Sus scrofa: one gene and its partner. The protein of the gene in region 2 purifies or fractionates together with the protein of the main gene of each other region. This does not show direct contact. Links are inferred from orthologs where the notes say so. Each region holds a gene or a part of one and is shown on either strand. Other genes may lie near its edges.

Region 1 (10,251 bases), on a different chromosome or scaffold from region 2:
GGTGCAAAAGGCTCTATCAGTGTTTGGGTGTGACCGGCGATGATGTTATTAAATCCCTATTAATAGGCTATTTGGAGATGAGGGAGAGGTGACTGAGGAGAACTCGGCAACAGGAGAATTACACCGAGGGAGCTCTGGCCCTGAGGCACGACGGCTGCGCGCGTCTCCACCGACGAGGCAGCACAACCAGAGAAGGCTCTCAGCAACCGCGGTTCTCGCAGCGTTTGTGGCCATTACGTCACGGTCTTCTTCGCCTCTCATTGGGCGAACCCGTCCAATCATGTGACTCCAGGATGGCTTATAAATACAGGCGAGGAGACGGTGTTGGTCCGCCATTTCGTGGACGCCGGATCGGGGAGAGTATCTGCTGGAGCCAGGCGGGAGGGGAGTGGGAAGAGACAGCCGCGGGTGCGTGGATTTGAGTCTTCGCATTTCTAATCTAAGATCTCGGTAAGAGACCCAGCGACTAAAGGAATGAGGTGGGAAATGGGCCTTAACAGGACCGAGGTGGGGCCAGGCCCAATGGCGGCGCCAGATTGAGACAAAGAGACGCTGCCGCCATTTTGTGACGTTCAACACGGGGCGGTGGAGGGGGCTCCCGGCCCCCCGGAGCAGGCACCCAGGCTTCCAAGTGGAGGTGCTTATAACCCTTCCCTGGGGGGCTGAATCGGGAAGTGAGATTGCTCGAGTTGAGGCAAAGGGGGTATCGGTAATCGGTTGTACTCTAGATCGCGGCCATTCAATTTATGGCGCCTTTTTTTTCTTTTTGCCCACGTTTCCTTAAGTAGCGGCTTAGGATTTTTTTTCTTCAAGTCACTACTCAAGACTGGACCCTTCGATCCATATTTGAGGATTTCTCTACTTTCTTTCATTTTCGTGTTACTTTAACTTCACTTTTTACAGCCTGAATCCAATAACTATTTTTTTTTAAGCTGATCTTTCTTGAGCTGTATTGTTCTTATAGCTGCTTCGCATTAAAACTGGTCAGGGTAAAGTTTTTGGGAAAGATTAATTCACCAACAATGGGTTTGGTCTCGGAACTTCTGGGCACAGGGCGGGGTCACACAAATAGGATGTGTCTGGGCGGGTATTTTTTTTTTTTTTAATTGGATAACGTGTTTATGAAAAGCCCTTAAGCTGAGTTTTTGGACAGGCTGCTTTTCGTATGTAATCTACAAGTTGATTAGATTCGTTGCTGAGGCGGCTTTATTAGTATTGAAGGTTTTTCAAATGTAAACTAAAGTGCCTTAAGTTCTTGCACAACAAATAATCTATTTTTTTCCCCATGAGGTGGAGTTAATGTAACATTCATTTTAAAGTGCACGATTCAGAAGCATTCGATACCTTCACAATGTTGTGTAACTATCACCTCTATCTAGTTTTAAAGCATTTTATTATACCCACTAAGGTGACCTGTACTGTTAAGCAGCCACTACCCTTTTGGCCTGCCCCTTTCTCTCCCGCAGCCCCTGGTAGCTACTAATCTGTCTCTGGATTTACCCGTTTCGGATATTTCACATACATGGGATGGTATTACGTGTATTTTTTTTGTCTGATATCTATAACTTAGCATGCTTTCACGTTTTGTCCATGTTTATGGGTACTCGTTCCTGAATACTCCATTGTATGGGTAATAATTTTGCTTCTCCATTTTGTTGCTGGACATTTGGGTTAACACCTTTCGGCTGTTGAGGGTAGAACAAGATATATATTTTTAAAAAACAAGTTTGTCCTGCTTGAGTAAAGTTTTGGCTTGTGAAGGCACATTACTATCACTTTTTTAGTGGTTTAGCCTTAACTGCTGTCTTGTCTTCACTTGTCATTTTGTTTTGTAGTCTCCAGGTTTTGCTTTTAATCCTACTTTTCAAAGTTGTTCCTCCCCCCCCTTCAGATAACTGAAATAGGTTTAAGTCTCTCAGTTCCCATTTTGTGGCATATGCTCCCCTACTGTTTCCTCCCTCCACTTCTCTGGGAGGTGATTTTTTTTTTTATTTTCTTACACAGCTTGGCTTCCAGGTGGTTATTGGCAACGATTGGGGTGTTTCAAGGGTAGTGCCTTTACCTTTTTTCGGTTTTTGAATTCTTTCCTAAGGATCTGTTTTTTACTGTGTGGGTTATGATATTTTGGATTTTTTTTTTTTTTTTTGTTACAGAAATGCATCGTGATTCCTGTCCATTGGACTGTAAAGTTTATGTAGGTAATCTGGGAAACAATGGTAACAAGACTGAATTGGAACGAGCTTTTGGCTATTATGGACCACTCCGAAGTGTATGGGTTGCTAGAAATCCTCCTGGCTTTGCTTTTGTTGAATTTGAAGATCCCCGAGATGCAGCTGATGCTGTCCGAGAGCTAGATGGGAGGTAATTTGTTAATTTTTGCTAATAATATGTTGTTTGTCCTTTTAATATTTAAAATCTCTAGGATAAGAGGTTTTTAGATGGCTTTGTGGAGATTTACATAAATTTTTTTTTTTCTGGCCAAAAAAGGACAACGGTTTTAGTGACGATACGTAGGGAGAGTTTATTCAGTTTGCCATTGAAGAAAAGAATTTTATTTGCAGTTGGCGGGTGGAGAGCAGCATCCAAAATATGACTGAAATATTTTAATCTAAATCCACTATAAATAGTCATGTTGTAAACTTTGAAATCTAAAATTGTGGAATCAGACATTCCCTTATGGTCACATCCTGATTGATTGTAGCTGGATGATGGTTACATGGGTTTATTGTACCATTATCTTTACATGATAACACTTTTTTTTAGGAAGTGTGGGTGTTATTTCCCTATGCTTTTAGTGTCTTGTTGACTGGCTAAGTAACACCTGAGGTTAGTTGGGTGTTTTGTTTTGTTTTTTGGTTTTTTTTGTTTGTTTTTTCTGTGCTAGTGGCTTGTGGATGTTCCCAGGTTCTGGGATCAAATGTGACAGTGCTGCATTCTATTTTTTTTTTTCTATTACTCAGTGAACTTATTACATTTTTAGTTGTACGATGATCATCACAATCCAATTTTATAGGATTTCCATCCCCCAACCCCCCCAAACTGTCTCCAGTGCTGCATTTTTAACTTGCTGAGCCACCGGGGAACTCAAATAACACCTGAGTCTTAAAGTGAACTAGTGTTGCCCTTTATCCTGGCATTTGCAAACCACTGGATTTCATGAAATCAAGGAAAACTTTGATCCTTAAGATGGAAAACTGAAAGGATCTGAGAGTTGGCTGTAAAGCTATATGAAAGGTCACTTAACTAAGCAAATTGCAGAAACTGGTTGAGAGCCCCACCTCTTCCCAGTGTCTGTCCAAATGTGGCTTATCTAAACTTAATGGTTGTGGACCAATGAAGAGGTGGGAGATAACTTTCTTACTGTTCTCACTTGCAATTTCTTGTCAACTATTGTGTGATGATTGAGTGGAGAGGGTTGTATTAAATAAATGGCCAGAATGCTTCTGTCCTGTTTACTGCTCTTTACTTGGAGGTATGAAGAGAAAGGAGACCAACAAATATAGTAAGGTTGGTAAACAATTGCTGGGACCTCAAAGGAAGTAGTCACACCAGCATGTACAGATGAACTAATTCTTTGAGAATGGATCCAGGGATTTTCACACTTAATATTGTCACTGTGATCATTGAACCCAATGATCACACTGACTAACAAAGCAATAAAATGTAAGGAAGGTGTTTTTTACCAGAAAAAAATATAGAAACTAAACCTTGTTTTGGTGTTAAGAATTCTATGAGCATTCAGATGTTTCTTACACAGAAACTAGCTATAAATGAATGTTGGGGTTTTTTTCCCGCTTTAATGTGTATCTTTTAATCAATCCGGCTGCTTTAAATTTAATGTTTCTTCCCTCTTAGAACGCTGTGTGGCTGCCGAGTAAGAGTGGAACTCTCTAATGGTGAAAAGAGAAGTAGAAATCGTGGCCCACCTCCTTCTTGGGGTCGTCGCCCTCGAGATGATTATCGGAGAAGGAGTCCTCCACCTCGCCGCAGGTACTTAGAGAGAGCGTGTTTAGAGGTATTGGTGTAATGGAGTAGCTGATAGGAACAGGTATTCTCTTAAAGTTTGTTGGTGGGTTTTAAACTTTGAAGAATCAGAGGTTTTTATGAAACATTTGCTGGGCGTAGCTTGGGGTATGTGAGTTGTGCTGAGTGTTGGCTTTTGTCTTAGGTCACTGTTCATGTTGGTAGTCAGTAACTTCTATCTTGGATCTATCTTCTAGTTCATCTTCTAGTTGCATCTTTCCAAGTCTTCCCTTATACTTCAATTTAGGCCTTTTTCCATTTCTTGACTCCATAATGACAAACATTACATTCAATTCTAGCTCTTCACCAAAATGTGTTTTCTACTATTGTAATATTTATCAAACAGGCAGCTGTTTTAATGTTGCAACTGGTAAAGTAGAAGTCATTCTGAAACTAACTTAAGTCACTGACCAATAAAGGGGGCTAAAGTAATCCCAGTCATCTGTTCTTCAAACCCAAATAGGAGAGAATTCAGTTTTTTTATAATTAAAAATGGCATCTTTCTTGGACCAGGCAGTATTGTCTGGATGCTAACTCCACATCTCCTCAAACCTCCAAAATAGTTTCTATAGGACTGAATTTACCTCTTACAGGTGAGTGAAGTCCTTCTAGGAGATAGGAGTTCAAAATCTTGCCCCTTTTGCTGTTTTGAAAAACAAAACAACACACTGTTGCCCATCATAATAAAGAGTATTTGTTAGCTAATAGATGGTTGTACTGATGGCTTGTTTTTCATTTTTTTTTTGTGCTTTTTGGTCCATCTATTAATAAAAATGAACCCCGTTACAGAGTCACCATCATGTCTCTTCTCACCACCCTCTGAATCTGCATTAGCCAGTCAACTAGCCCTTTCAGCGTCATGTGACCAGCGCGCCCCATTCAGCTTGGCTGGTGTCGTTTCACATGACCCAGGCATGGCCAGTCGTCAGGTTGCACCGCCCTTTGGTTCCCGAGCATGCTGTTTTCTCTCAGCCTTCTCTCCAACCTTAACCAAATCGGCAGCAGCCACCTCGACCGCCCACACATTCCTGGCCAATCAGCTCAGCTGTTTATTTACCAAATGTCTTCACAACAACTACAGCAGCAGCCTTCGGCTAACAAAAAAGCAGGAAAAATCCACAACACCCCCTTCGCCAACCAACTAAATCCAACGCAACATCTGGCAAAACCTTTTCAGCAAATTCTTCCTGGCCGTCAGTCCGGCAGCCTCACCTCACCATTTCTAGCTTGTTGAAACCCAAAAACTAGTAAGTTTTTCCTGCTTATACAGTTTACTGCTGGTTAAAATAAGGAGTAAGCGGCTTAAAGTAATTCTTTTTTCTGGATCAAAGGCTGGCTGTGCATAATTGAATGGTAACGTACATATATATTGCTTGAATAAAACTTTTAAGGGTGATAGGGAACTCATAATGTAACTAGACCTTCAAGTGAAACTTATTTGCATGTTTGAGATGCCAAACTAAAATTTTAATAATTCTAACAGATTTAGCTTTCCTTTCTAGCAAAAATTTGTTGAATCCTATCACCTTTAAATGGTTTTACTAACAGTTTTCAAAAATTAAAATTTTGGGGGTGAAGTGGGCCAAGCTAAGGTAATTTTGATAAGCCTAAACACACTCTTAAATGTGACGATCACAAATGGCAGTTCTAATGTAGCACTTAATGGCATCAATATTTACACCTAGCGCGTTTTCACAGAATTACACTATCCACCTGGTACCTAAGTCTTGTCATGGACTTATAGGTTTGCATGGGTTCCAAATACTGATTTATGGTACTGTTTTTGGAACTATTGTGGGACTACATTTTGGTGTGGTGTTTGGGTAGTGAAGTTAGTTTGACATGAAAGTTTTGCATTGGACAGATCTGCTGTGAAGCATTCTTTGTTAAAGTGAATCCATGGTTGGATACCTGCTTTTCACTTGAGCTTTTGGTTCCTTAATCCTTCTGTGCCTTTTTTCTTTTCTTTAAAAAAAAATTTTTTTTATTATTTTTGGACGATGGGTGCCAGTTCTTCGGCACATTCACTGGGCCCAACAGTGAGATTGAAAAGTTGGGAAATGCCTCACGCCATAAATGCTAATTGACAGTTAGTCTAATTTTCCTGTTTCTGCTTTTAGATCTCCAAGACGGAGAAGCTTCTCCCGTAGCCGGAGCAGGTAAATAACTACTTTTTGCGGGCCACGTTCTCAGAAATGGGAGTATTTGTGCTGTTCCTAAGCTGTTTTCCAAATGACTTAGATAATAGTAATAGATGTTGACTTTCATAATGACTGAGGTAGTATCTGTAACCACTGTTAAGTTGTAAGAAAAATTAGTTTTTAGTTTTTCAAAATCTTGGAAATACGGGTGTATGATCCTGAATGGCCCTATTTTTTTTTTCCCCTCTGACTTCAGGTCCCTTTCTAGAGATAGGAGAAGAGAGAGATCACTTTCTCGGGAGAGAAATCACAAGCCGTCCCGTTCTTTCTCTAGGTCTCGTAGGTAAGATCTTTAATGACCTGAGGCATAAAAGACCTTGCATACATAATGTACTAAAAACAAGTACTTCTTTTAAGTCATTTTGATACAATTTTTGTAACTTTTGGTTTTTGTTTTTAGCCGATCCAGGTCAAATGAAAGGAAATAGAAAACCAGTTTGCAAGAGGAGTGGTGTACAGCAAATAACTTCATTTGACAGGAGTATGTACAGAAAATTCAAGTTTTGTTTGAGACTTCATAAGCTTGGTGCATTTTTAAGATGTTTTAGCTGTTCACATTTGTTTGTCTCTTGGCAACAAAAGTAAAGATGTAATTTTTACACATAAAGATGTAATTCTCTATGGTTTGAAATGAATCATATGAGGCATGTAATACCAAGAATTGTTACTTTACAATGTTCCCTTAAGCAAAATTGAATTTGATTTTTTTTTTTTAAGTCTTGCATAGATTGATAATAAACCTCTAACTCCTGCCCAGCTAAACTGTGATGTTCAATATTACTGAAGCAAAACCGGCAAAAATTTGAGAAGACTTTCCATAGCTGGAATATGGTGTGCAGTTGTAGTTGAGCAAGCAGTCTTTAAAAGCTGCTATGAATGCAAACCAGCAGGTAAAAGTTAAAGCTGCATCATTAAACTACTAGATTAGAGGTTTAAAAATCCCACTAGTCTTCATAATGGACAGGATATTGTCCAGTTGTATAGAATCTAAGAAGTTTCAGGAAAATTAGTTTACTTTTGCTTTAGGTCATAAGTTCCTTCTGTGATTGCTATATATGAATACATAGCTCTTTGTAACATTCTTTATTTGAAAATTGGAGACTATTCAAGATACATTCTGATGTTCTACCAGTTTAAGGGTACATTGTAGAGCTGAACTTTGAGTTACTGTGCAAGATTTTTTTTCATGCTGTCATTTGTAATATGTTTTGTGAGAATCCTTGGGATTAAAGTTTTGGTTACAAATTGTTGTTTAACCTGAAAGCCTGTTTTTCCTTGCAAAACTAAAATCTGTGAGCTTGGTACCAAGTCCAGGTATAACATTCCTATTGGAAGCCATACTTATATTTTCTTGTAAAGTGCTTTTGACAATAAAATATTAGCATAATTGTGTAATAGTCGAACCCACTGTTACCATAGTTCTTGTCCCATAGAAGGCAGTTGGTTACACAAATCTTAACTCTGTAAGCACAGTTGAGGCTTTTGAAATGAAAGGAATTGTGTCCACCTAAGTGATAAAACTTAAATTTTTAGGCGTAGAAGCCAGTTCAAAAAGTCCATGATACTCAGTGACCAACATTTTAAAGTATAGCCACCTGATACATTATAATCCAAAGTTGCCCTTTAAAAGGGGCTTTTATCATTAGCATGAAAACTTTAACACAGAGCTTTAAAAATTGCTTCCATTTTATATAATTTGAGGTGTTGCATGGGAATTCTAAATTGGTCCGTCATGATGTAAAATCCACTATATGGTTAAAATGTAACAGTACAGAGTTGCATACGGAGGCATGCATAACTTTCCTCTTAGAAATCTAGAGGAGTTGTAACTTCAAATTTTTGTGCAATTAGATTAAATCATAATACAACAGTCTTGTGGCTTAGTTTCCTTAAATGTGCTATTTAAAGACAGTTTTGGATTATGCTGTACTGACTTTAATGTGAAAGATAAGTCATTAATCTGTAAGGATATTTTATAAGATACAAATCCTAAACACTATTTCCAGTGGTCCTTCTTAACCTTTCATGCAAATAATCAAGGGAGGAGAGTCTTTTGGTGTTGGTGAAGTTCAGTATGAGCCTTGTTATAGAAGATATTGTTAAGGCTGCCTGGTGATTTATTGGAGCTCAGATTTAGGGCCTTTTGTCATTTCATAGCTTAAAAGCTTTTGTTATGAACAAAGCAAGATAGCCAAAAATTCATGGAAGTAATAAGGTATATTAATTACACTGCTCTTAAATTTATATGGGCATTTTTGGCAGCATATAACTTGAAGAGACTTAAATTGGAAGGGTTTCTGTAAAAAATTATGGCAAAATGTGGCTGATACATAAAGTTAACCTCAGGGAGTTACCTTTAGGATCCAAATTTGTAATCACTTTAACCAGAAGCCCTAACACAAATTTATGGCTTGTTAAAAATACGGAAGATAGAAATTGTTAAAACCGCATTCTACATTTAGATTGCGGCTGTTCACTAGTTTCTGAAATTGTAAGTCCCATTTGTCAGTCTGTCTTGCATCATCAGTTGATGATACTGAAAACAGTCATAAAAACTTTGACTTGTGTATGATTACAAATGTTTGCTTACTAATATTTGGTGATAATTCAAGGAACATACCTAGGGATAAGTTGTTTTTTATGCTTACAGAAATATTTAACACTGATTCTCAGTTCATTGTGGATTACTTACCTCCATGTCTTAAGCAGAAAGATAAAAACAAAGATATATTAGCTGGAGAAATTTTTTTTTAATTTTACAAGATTTAGATACCTTTTGTCTACTGTTTCTATACTTTTTATAGTTTCTTAAAAAAGATCATGTGATCAGTAGATGGCATCTCCAGGTTTTTTCACCCATGTATGGATAGATAGGAAGCTCTGGTTGCTTTTTGTTGTAGAGTCATGGTTCATGTTCTTACAGTGCTGCTTTATCAGGAATGGTGTTAATCATAGCAATTTCCAAAATAACACACATCTGATTCCAGACCCACTGACTCATATTTCCATTCCTGGTTACATAAGAACCACTGGTTTAGAATTTTGTCTTAATGTGCTTTTATTTTCAGAATCCTGAACATGATTTAGTTGTCAGATCTAGTTGGTGGTAATGTCTTCCAGGTTGTATATTTTTGTACTAGACTGCTGCCTTCTGGTTTCCTCTTTTTCTTTTAAGAATATGAAAGATTTTTGTAATTAAAGTAGCTGAAGAAAAACTGGGTTGGAGTATATTTTTACCAAAATCTGATAGTGTTGAATTAAATTTTATGTCCACAAAAGCTTTTTTCATCCTGTTTTATTCATTGGATACCTCACAAGAATTTAGTTCTACAGCATACTTGTGAGGTTCTGAGAAAAGACATTGAAAATAAGGTCTTTTGATAAACCTAAATAACTGCTTAATTTTGTTCATGCAACTTTTCCTGTATTGGGACTGTAGAAATTTATAATACAGTATTCTTGTCATTTTGTATCCCAATTTTTAATTATTAATGGAACATACGACAGCTGAGATGTTTCCCAGGTTAACATGAAATAGATTTGGAGAACATTACTTTCCTCATATTTAGTTTTTCCTTGGTTCTAAAGTCTTAGAATCTGGCCACTAAGTGCCTTAAACTATTAGTATGTATATACACTTAAGAAGTGAAAAATCTTAGAAATGTTGACACTTAGCTTCATTTAGGGCTTGTTAAAAACATGGAAGATAGGGGAGTTCCCGTTGTGGCTTAGCAGAAGTTAATCTGACTAGGAACCATGAGGTTGTGGGTTTGATCCCTGGCCTTGTTCGGTGGGTAAGGATCCGGTGTTGCCATGAGCCGTGGTGTAGATCACAGATGCAGCTTGGATCTGGCGTGGCTGTGGCGTGGGCCGGCAGCTGTAGCTCTGATTTAACCCCTAGTCTGGGAATCTCCATGTGCCAAGAATGCGGCCCTAAAAAGCAAAAAAGGAAGATAGGAATTGTTAAATTCCTGTTCATCATTTGAAGAGGTCCTGGGATGGAGAATATTTCGCTTTATTTCCAGAG
Region 2 (9,604 bases):
ACAAGCGGCGTGCTCGCAGGACTGCTGCGCATGCGCAGCTGGAAGCTAGTTCGGCGCTTGCGCAGCTGAGTTATAGCGCCATCTTCCAAACAAACGCCCTGTAAAACTACAAGTCCCATAATCCTGGTTGGCCTCACTTTTTTTTTTTTTTAGGTGGCAGCAGCAGTGCCTGATCGTTCATGAAGCCCATCTTCCTTTTCCTAACTTTTTTCTCTGCCCTAGACTTCCTTCCTGATTCCCATTCTCCCTTTGAGTCTCCTTCAAACCCTTATTTTGATATTTTGAGACTACCCTTAACACCACTCCCGCCTCTTTCGCCCTCTTCGCAGCCACAGGACCCAAACCCCAATCGCTGTGGGCCCGGAGAACGGGCCCCCTCTGAAAAGGGCATCGAGTAGCTTGTTCCCCATTGGCTGAGGCCGGGGCCCCCAAAGCCGACCGAAATCTCTTCCCTGCCCACGTTCGTTTTTATATAAGGCGGCGCAAACGCGCCGCGGGTGCTCGGAAAAGCCTGCGTGCAAAGGGGGCGGTGGTGGTAGATATACTGTTATTGGTGGCTGTGGTGGGCGTCTGGGTCGCCGTTCCCTAACGGGGGGAGGGGCTCGCGAGCAGGCGTCGGGTGGTGGGTGTGGAGGCGGAGAGGAGGGCGTGGTGTCCCCAGGTGATCGCGATTGAGGGAAGGCGGAGGAGCGAGAGAACGACCTGGCCGTTTCGGGGAAAGAGGAAGTTGGACAACATCGCCTTAGTACTTTTTTTCCCCCAGTTCATCAGAGAATATTTTCCAGGGGGGTGAGTTAAAATGACCTATTGTATTATACTGAGAACAGTAGTTAGGAAGACAGTGGGTACACTCCGCTCCTTTCCTTCTCCTACTTCTAGGTTCGCCCCTCTTTAGAAATAGGTGGGCCAAGAGGGCCACCACTTTATGAATAATTCACGAGGGCCTCCCCGTTCTTTAGCCACGCCCCTCCGAATCGTGCTGACGCATGTTGCGCGTACCAAACCTGAGGAAGCGACGTAGCAGTCCCCGCCTCTAGGACGGAGGGAGGGGCGTCATCTCCAGCACGTGCTGCATCTACCCGCGCAAGCCCAAAAGGGTGTGCGCAGGCGCTGCCCGCTAGGGGGAGGAAGGAGGCGGGGTAGGGAGGTTGCTGGGTTTAGAGCCGGGCGGAGACGGCAGAGACTCATTCCTCAGGAACAAGGGTCGGGTGTCAAGGAGACCTTTTCACACCAGCTCCCCGTCCCCCGCCTACGGTGGGTGGGATCGCGCGGCAGAGACAAAGGATATCACTAGGGACGGACGTAGCTGCGAAGGGAAGTAGGGCGTCAGTTTGGGGTGGTGGGCTTTGGTTGGGGGGGCTTAGGGGGGCTATATTTAAACTCCCGGAGCCGTTAAGTTGGTTCGTACTCTGATGCGCGCGCAACCAGGGTGGTGGCTGAGTGCGCATGCGTGATTCCGGGGCCAGAGGAACGCGCTCCAGCAGTGCGCGCTCGCGGCGAAGCGGTAGTGGTAGAGGAGAAAGGAGTCGGCGCACGCGCGGTTGGTTCCTCGAGTTCGGGTCTCGCGGGCATCTTGTTTTGGTCTCGCGGGCGAGTGGGGCGCGCTTCGGGGGAGGCGCTTGGGGACGAGACTAGGCGAGAAGCGGAACTGCGCGCGCACTCAGGAAAGGGGGGAAGGGAGCGCGGTCTTAGGAAGGGGGGGTTAAGCCCCCTGGTCCCCCTGGTTGCCCTCGACTGGGACGGAATAAGGGGAGGAAATGATCGAGATGGCGGCGGAGAAGGAGCCGTTTCTGGTGCCGGCCCCGCCACCGCCGCTCAAAGATGAGTCGGGCGGAGGGGGCGGCCCCACGGTGCAACCACACCGAGAGGTCGCCTCCGGGGAGCTCCGCGGCGGGACGCAGCGTGGGCCGGGCCCGCGCGCACACTCGGCGGGGTCCCCAGCTTCTGGGGCAGGCAAGGAGAGCCCCGGGGCTACCTCCACCCCTCGGGGCGGCCAGTCGCAGCAGCAGCGAGGGGGCGGCCCCCAGGCCCAGTCGACCGGAGAGGCCTGCTTGTCGGATCCCCAGGGGCTAGCCGCTCCCCCGGACGTGGGGGAGGAGCGCCGGGGAGGGGGCGGAACAGAACTGGGCCCCCTTGCTCCTCCTCGACCACGTAATGGCTATCAGCCCCACCGGCCCCCTGGGGGAGGTGGGGGCAAGAGGAGAAATAGCTGTAATGTAGGGGGAGGTGGTGGAGGCTTCAAACATCCGGCCTTCAAGAGGCGCAGGCGGGTTAATTCGGACTGTGACTCTGTCTTACCTTCCAACTTCCTCCTGGGGGGCAATATCTTTGATCCGCTGAACCTGAATAGTCTCCTGGATGAGGAAGTGAGCCGTGCACTCAATGCGGAGACCCCTAAGTCATCCCCACTTCCGGCCAAGGGACGAGATCCAGTGGAGATACTCATCCCCAAAGATATTACTGACCCTCTCAGTCTCAATACTTGCACTGATGAGGCCCAAGTAGTCCTTGCTTCACCACTCAAGACTGGTCGGAAGCGGCATAGACATCGGGGACAGCACCACCAGCAGCAGCAGCAGCAGCAGGCAACTGGAGGGAATGATAGCCACTCCGTGCTGCCCACAGCCCCCCTCACTCCCTCACTCCAAGGGGAGGGCACCACACAGCAGCAGCGGCAAAGGGGCCAGAACCGGGACGTCCCCCAACCCTATGAACTCAACACAGCCATCAACTGCAGGGATGAGGTCGTGTCTCCCCTTCCATCTGCCCTACAGGGTCCCTCAGGCTCCCTTTCAGCCCCTTCAGCTGCCTCAGTTACCTCTGCACCCCCGTCTTCCTCCTCACGACATCGCAAACGTCGCAGGACTTCCAGCAAGTCAGAGGCAGGGGCTAGGGGTGGAGGCCAGGGTCCCAAGGAAAAGGGCAGAGGGAGTGGGGGAGGCCGCCAACACCCCCACCCACTACCTGCAGCAGGCTTCAAAAAGCAGCAGTGCAAGTTCCAGTATGGGAATTATTGCAAGTACTATGGGTACCGCAATCCTTCCTGTGAGGATGGGCGCCTTCGGGTTATGAAGCCTGAGTGGTTTCGGGGTCGTGACGTCCTAGATCTGGGCTGCAACGTGGGCCATCTGACTCTGAGCATTGCCTGTAAGTGGGGCCCATCCCGCATGGTGGGCCTGGACATTGATCCCCATCTCATCCACTCGGCCCGCCAAAACATCCGACACTACTTGTCTGAAGAGCTGCGTCAGCCACCCCAGACTTCTGAGGGGGACCCAGGAACAGAGGGTGAGGAAGGGACCTCAACCGTCCAAAAGAGGAGCTGCTTCCCAGCTTCCCTGACCGCCAGCCGGGGTCCCATCGCTGCACCCCAAGTGCCCTTGGATGGAGCAGACACGTCCGTCTTCCCCAACAATGTTGTCTTCGTCACGGTAAGAAGATCTGCAGGCTTGGGATAGGGGCCTGGGAATGAAGATGAGATTAAACAGGAACATGGCAGGGGAAGGTTACGACCCAGAGGGCTTCTGTGCACATGAAGAGCCCACATCCTCAAAAGAAGGGTCTGAATCGGCGACTGATTCCACTGGGTGTCTTTCCCCTCCTATAACCTAGCAAGGTGGGGAAGGTAGGGGCTCTACTTGGAGTCCTTTCTCATGACTACAAGCCCCAGGATAGGCACAGACTCCTGTCCACCTTCCCTTGGGGGCTGCTGCTCATCTGGTCCAAATGAAAACCTGTCCTCCAACCTCCTGAAGGTGCATGGAATGGGGGGAGGATTGAGGAAGTGGCTAATACTCATAGTTTCTGCCCTTCCATAAGGACCTCGTTTACAGTTAGATGCAGAGTTGGTTGAAGAGTGTCCCGTGGCCTTAAATCCTCTCCACACTGACCCTAGATGATGGGGTGGGGGAGAGTCAGAAAGTCCTCTGTAGGAAAGATGACTGTGCCCTCAGTGTCTGTCCCCTGACTTCACGTGGCTTCCCATAAAATGCTCCAGGTAGGCCTTCCACAGGAATAGAGTGTGTTGGGTTACAACTGGAAGAATGGACTTGGCAGACGGTGGTAATAAGCTTATCATCTAGAAAACTTTTCTTGGGATGAAGCTCTTCATTTCCCTGAGAGAAAGGGAAGAATAGGCCTGAAACTTTGTCAGCCCCAACTACAGGAAATGAGCCCACAGGTCTCCCTTTCAAACCTGAGTTAGAGCCCTTTGCATAATGTTGGGTCACTGAGCTCAGTGATTGTGGAGTGGGAATAAGTACTGGACAGGGTCCTAGGAGAACCCAAGCATTCTTTCTTTGCAATTTGACCCCAACTTTGTCGATCTCATGGATAATTTGCTCAACTTAAAATTATCCAGGCTCCCTTTTTATGTTTGATTGGCTTGTTACCAATAGAAAGCAAGAAAATGAGACTCAAAAGAGGGCACCATTTAGAGTTCCCTGGTGGCTAAAGATTCAACATTGTCACTGCTGTGGCTCAGGTTTGGTCCTTCGCCCTGGAACTTCCATGTGCTGTGGGCCCAAAAAAACCAGAGGGCACCGTTTGGGAGTTATTTTGAGGCATGTCAGAGGAGGTTGTGGCCAGGACTATAGTGAGGCTGCAGAGTGGACTGTGGGGGCGGCAGTGGTTCTTGAATGCGTCTCTTGACCTCACCCCTAACTCTTCACCCTCAGGGTAACTATGTGCTGGATCGAGATGAGCTGGTGGAGGCCCAAAAACCTGAGTATGATGTGGTGCTCTGCCTCAGCCTCACCAAGTGGGTGCATCTCAACTGGGGAGACGAGGGGCTGAAGCGCATGTTTCGCCGGATCTATCTGCACCTCCGCCCTGGGGGCATCCTGGTCCTGGAGCCCCAACCTTGGTCAACCTACGGCAAGAGAAAGACTCTCACGGTGAGTTGGGGTTTCTGTGGAAATTGTAGCTGTCCTTCCTTTAGTTGAGGCAAGAAAGGTCTCAAGGAAGCAGAAAGCGGACTTTCTGAAGTGAAAAGGCCCCCTGGGTGGGCATCACTCTCCATCAACAGAGAAGGCACCAAGCTGAAGCGGTCCCTTGCCCTTCTCTCTAGGAAACAATCTACAAGAACTACTATCGAATTCAGCTGAAGCCAGAGCAGTTCAGTTCCTACCTGACATCCCCAGAGGTGGGCTTCTCCAGCTATGAGCTTGTGGCCACACCTCACAACACCTCCAAAGGTAAGGCTGGCTTATTTTGTTGGGGGTGGAAGGGAGGCCTGTCCTGGTGCAGGGTAGACCCTGTGGAGAGTCTTAAGGTCCTGCCAACCCCTCCTGATGGCACACTCTTCCTCAGGCTTCCAGCGTCCTGTGTACCTGTTCCACAAGGCCTCTTCCCCCAGCCACTAAGTGGCCTCCTGAACAGAGAGTATGAAGAAGCTGCCCACTGCTCCTGAGGACCTGGGGGAAGAGGAAGTATCCCAAGGTCTTTCCTTTCTGGCTCCAAAAATACTTTCCTTTCTTGGATCTGCAAAGAACGCTTTTCTTATGTTGCTGCCCCAGCCTCTCCCCTACACCTCTGGCACCTAAGCCCAGCTGTGCTGGAGTTACCATCTTCCTCTCCCCCGGCCCACTGGGCTGGATGGCATGGACTGTTTGCTGACCTCTGTTCTCCTAGGGCATGGGAGGTAGAGTTACCAAGTTCTCTAGCCTCTTCTTCCTGTCCTCCCAAGGAGAGATTCCCATTTCTCCTCAGCCCTTGTCCCTAGCTGCGTTTCAGTGGACCACGGATAGATGGACTAAGGGTTAAGAGGGGGAAGGTGGCGGGGAGGCATACAGGTACTGTGAAAATCCTTCCCTCTGCTGTCCCCCACTGGGAGAGGGGTTTGGGTTTGGATTGTGAGAACAGCACAATAAACTTGATGTTTAGGGCAGTGGCCCCCACACCTGTGTATGGGGCATTCTAGTGGCAGGGACGGGGACGGGGGGGGTGCTTCCTCTCTGCCCAAACTATAGTCTTAAGGAAAAGGACGAGTTCTTTTCAGTGGTGGGAAGATTATTGAATGCTACTGAGACCTACACACAAGTATACAGAATCCTAGATCAGGAAAAGCGGGTATAACGTGAATTCTGATGTGAAACAGAAATGTCCCTCTACCCTCCCCAAAAAACCCACTGGCAAAATTTTTTGTGGGAGCTTTGGGCACAAAGCTAACTTTGGAAGCCGAAGTATAACTAGAAAAGGCACTCTTTGGACTGTAGCACCTTCCTACCCACATTTTTTGGTGTGCTGTGAAACCAGACTAATGGGTGATTTAATTAACATCAAATTCTTGGGCAGCTCAGCAGTGTTCCTGGAGCTGTGAACATTCATTCAACAAATATTAAGCACTCTTGGGTTAATGTAAACAAGATGAGTGAGTCCTTTAAGGTGAAAGCAAGGAGATAATTTCACCAAGGGTGCTAGCAGCTACCTTGCAGACTCTTTGAGCTGGGTTTTGAGGGAAGCCTTCCCCAAAGTGTGATGTGGGCTGAGACCCACATATTAAAGTGATCAGAAATAAGTGGTTCAAAGGAACAAATGAGGAGCTCCCATTGTGGCGCAGTGGTTAACGAATCTGACTAGGAACCATGAGGTTGCGGGTTCAGTCCCTGGCCTTGCTCAGTGGGTTAAGGATCTGGCATTGCTGTGAGCTGTGGTGTAGGTGGCAGACGCCGCTCAGATCCGACGTTGCTGTGGCTCTGGTTTAGGCCGGCGGCTACCACTCCGATTAGACCCCTAGCCTGGGAACCTGCTTATGCTGTGGGAGGGGCCCTAGAAAAGGCAAAAAGACAAAAAGAACTAATGAGGTGTCATCAAAAACAAAGGTGGTGGAGTTCTCTGGTGGCTCAGTGGGTTAAGACTCTGGTGGTGGTACTGCTGTAGCATGGGTTGGATCCCTGGCCTGGGAACTTCGGCATGCAAGAACACAAAAAGGTGGTAACTGACTGAAGTCAGGGTATGAGGTGAGAAGAGTATAGAAACCCTACTTGGGCAGTGTTTTCAACTCACCACTACCAAGTTCTTTTAAAGTTTAAGAGAACCAAAACCTTGACTTCAGGCAGCTTGCAACCTGAAACTTGACCTCATCTCAAGGGTCCCAAGAAGAGTCTTGTTAGCAAAACCACTTTATTCTGATCGTTTTAACAAATGTGCACTAGCAATCCAGGGAGCTTCCAGGTCTACGCTTCCCAGCGCCTCAGTGTCCGATGCATGAGGAAGGTGTCCTCTGAAGGGCGAGGCCGGAGTTGAAGCCGGAGAGGGGGCAAGCCTTCCAGGGTCAGGTGTGGAGATTCATAAAATAGTGTTTCTGGATCACACAAAATAGTCATGTCTGGCCCTGGCCCAGGTGGCTCCTGTTGGAGTGGGAACCCAAATCGAGATTACACTCGGGGAGGGGACAGGACCCGCGACAGTCGGGGAGGGGCCGGGATAGGCAAACGCAGGGCAGGTCCCTCACCTTTGGAGGCGGGGCTCGGGCCTGCGGCGGCAGGAGCGCCAGTTTCTCCCGCAGCGCGGCCTTCAGAACTTGTTCCTCGGGCACCTGCAGGCTCACCAGGTCCCGAAAGAGCCGCTTGGAGCGCGGCACGTTCAACCCTGAGGCCGCAGGAGGAGTGGAGGTGAGCGGCGCGTCTCACCCCGACTCCCGCGCCCGGCCAGCCATCTGTCTGCCCCCCTCACCCTCCGCCACGCTCTCCTCCAGGCCGCAGCGGGTCTGGAATGACTTCCTCAGCTGTTCCTCCACGGCCTTCGCGGCATCGAACTGGCCCCTGGCTGCGGCCCGTGCAGCCTGCAGCTCGAGGCTCAGGGCCAGGCTGCTCTGCTGCGCGGGCGCCCCCAGGTCCTGCGACGCCGCAGGTTTCTCGTTCGGTGCGGCAGCGGCCGGCGGCGGCTCGGACCTGACCGGGGAGGGCGGCGCCAGGCGGAAGCGGACCTGGGAACAGAGCGAGGTGGTGAGGAGGTGGGCGCGAGCCGGCGGCTGACTGGCGGCCAGCCCTCCCCCCAGCTCACCTGCCGTCCCTTGCGGGCCCCGCCCCGTCGGTCCGCCCGCCCCTTCCGCCGTCCAGGGCTGCAGTCGGGCCGCCGGTGCCCAGGGCTCTCGGACCGCGGGCTCAGGCTCAGGCTCAGATCCAGGCCGGGCTCCGGCACTGGGGCTCCGGGCTCCGGGGCGCGAGGTGTTGGAGGTGGCCCTGGGGCCGCCAGGGCCTCTCCCCCTCCCACCGACTCCAGCTCTGACTCCCTACAGCCCATCATCTTGGCGGGGGTCGCTGGGGGCCAAGGGTCACGAAGCGCGGCCTCACCACCTCCTCTCCCCCGCCCTTCCTGAAAACCGTTGGCCCCTTCCCCAGGCGGGGGGGGAAACACCCAGCCCCGCCCTGTGGGGGCTCCTAAGCGTCACTTCCCCTGCTCTGCCCACGTGACTCCCTGTCGGCTTCCGCCCGCAGAACCTCGCCCCGCCTCTGGGCTGGGATCTTAAGAGTCCAAGCCTGTGGAAGCCTTACGGGTCCTCATCAAGACCAATTGTCCTCCCGATCCAGTCACCACGACTTCAGTTTGAAAGACCGCTGGAACCTGTCCCTGGACTGTGACGCGAGCCCTGAAGAATACAGGCTTGCATCTACTCTGATCCTTATCTGAGGCCCTGTTTCCCACTCCCTAACCTCATCCTTTTCTCTCTCAAAGAAGGGCACAGTCTTTAAGGCATAAGCCTGCTGTGGCCTCCTTTGCCTGGCAAAGCAATAAAAGCTATTCTTTTCTACTTCGCCCAAAACTCTGTCTCCACTTTTCTTTTTAGCACCAGTAAACAGAAGCCGAGTTTCGGCAACCCCTGTGCAGTACCTCCAGAGCATCTCCAGGTGTCCCATCACCTCTGAACCCCAGCAGAGCTTCCCAGTTTGAGTGAGGACCTGGCTCACTGACGCCAGCCCGTCTCCCTCCTAGGACTCTGGGCATCGTGGCTGCCAGGGCGATAAATAGATAGTCAACAGGCATGTCTGTATACCACTTTTCAGTTTGAGAGTTTTTACATTCTTTATCTTCCCAAGAAACCCTGTGGAAGATCAGAGAGAATGGATAGTGTTACCTGCGTTTTACAAAATAAAGTTTTCTAGGATCTCAATGGTGAAACTCTAAAAGCTTTCCTGCTAAAATCAGGAGTGAGAAAGTATAACCATTCCCTTTACTGCTGATCTTGCTCAACTTATGATGGGGCTATGTCACATTAAAGCCATTGTAAGTTGAAAAACAGCATAAATTGAAAATTCATTTAATACACCTACTGAACATCACAGCTTAGCCTACCCTCCCTTAAATGTACTCAGAGCATTTTCATTAGCCTATAGCTGGGCAGAATCATCTAACAGAAAGCCTATTTTATAATAAAGTGTTGAATATCTCATGTAATTTACTGAATACTGTGCTGAAAGGATACGGGTACAGAATGGTTGTAAGTGTATCAGGTGGCTTACCTTCCTGATGGAGAGGCTGACTGGAAGCTGCAGCTCACTGCTTCTGCCCAACATCACGAAAGAGTATCGTACCACTTATCACAAGCCTGGGAAAAAGATCAAAATTCAGAATCCAAAGTATGGTTTCTACTGAATGTGTATCA

Evidence for each region. Proteins that work in one complex are often made in the same cells at the same time.
Region 1: the proteins of MEPCE (region 2) and SRSF3 purify together in Homo sapiens (affinity purification with mass spectrometry; 3 studies listed by BioGRID and IntAct, with this or other methods). This does not show direct contact. The link is inferred for Sus scrofa from reciprocal best matches to the Homo sapiens genes MEPCE and SRSF3.

Annotation. Positions count from the first base shown.
Region 1 is NC_010449.5:32,289,151-32,299,401, forward strand, and holds SRSF3 (serine/arginine-rich splicing factor 3), read left to right. Parts: upstream 1-313; 5' UTR 314-450; intron 451-2,153; 5' UTR 2,154-2,155; coding exon 2,156-2,361; intron 2,362-3,855; coding exon 3,856-3,990; intron 3,991-4,812; exon of another isoform or gene 4,813-5,270; intron 5,271-6,143; coding exon 6,144-6,182; intron 6,183-6,420; coding exon 6,421-6,507; intron 6,508-6,624; coding exon 6,625-6,652; 3' UTR 6,653-9,502; downstream 9,503-10,251. UniProt on the Homo sapiens protein: Splicing factor, which binds the consensus motif 5'-C[ACU][AU]C[ACU][AC]C-3' within pre-mRNA and promotes specific exons inclusion during alternative splicing.
Region 2 is NC_010445.4:8,355,902-8,365,505, forward strand, and holds MEPCE (7SK snRNA methylphosphate capping enzyme), read left to right. Parts: upstream 1-700; 5' UTR 701-1,757; coding exon 1,758-3,431; intron 3,432-4,676; coding exon 4,677-4,895; intron 4,896-5,068; coding exon 5,069-5,195; intron 5,196-5,310; coding exon 5,311-5,363; 3' UTR 5,364-5,897; downstream 5,898-9,604. Other genes in the region: PPP1R35 (protein phosphatase 1 regulatory subunit 35), read right to left, coding at 7,176-7,349, 7,454-7,590, 7,675-7,927, 8,005-8,247. UniProt on the Homo sapiens protein: S-adenosyl-L-methionine-dependent methyltransferase that adds a methylphosphate cap at the 5'-end of 7SK snRNA (7SK RNA), leading to stabilize it.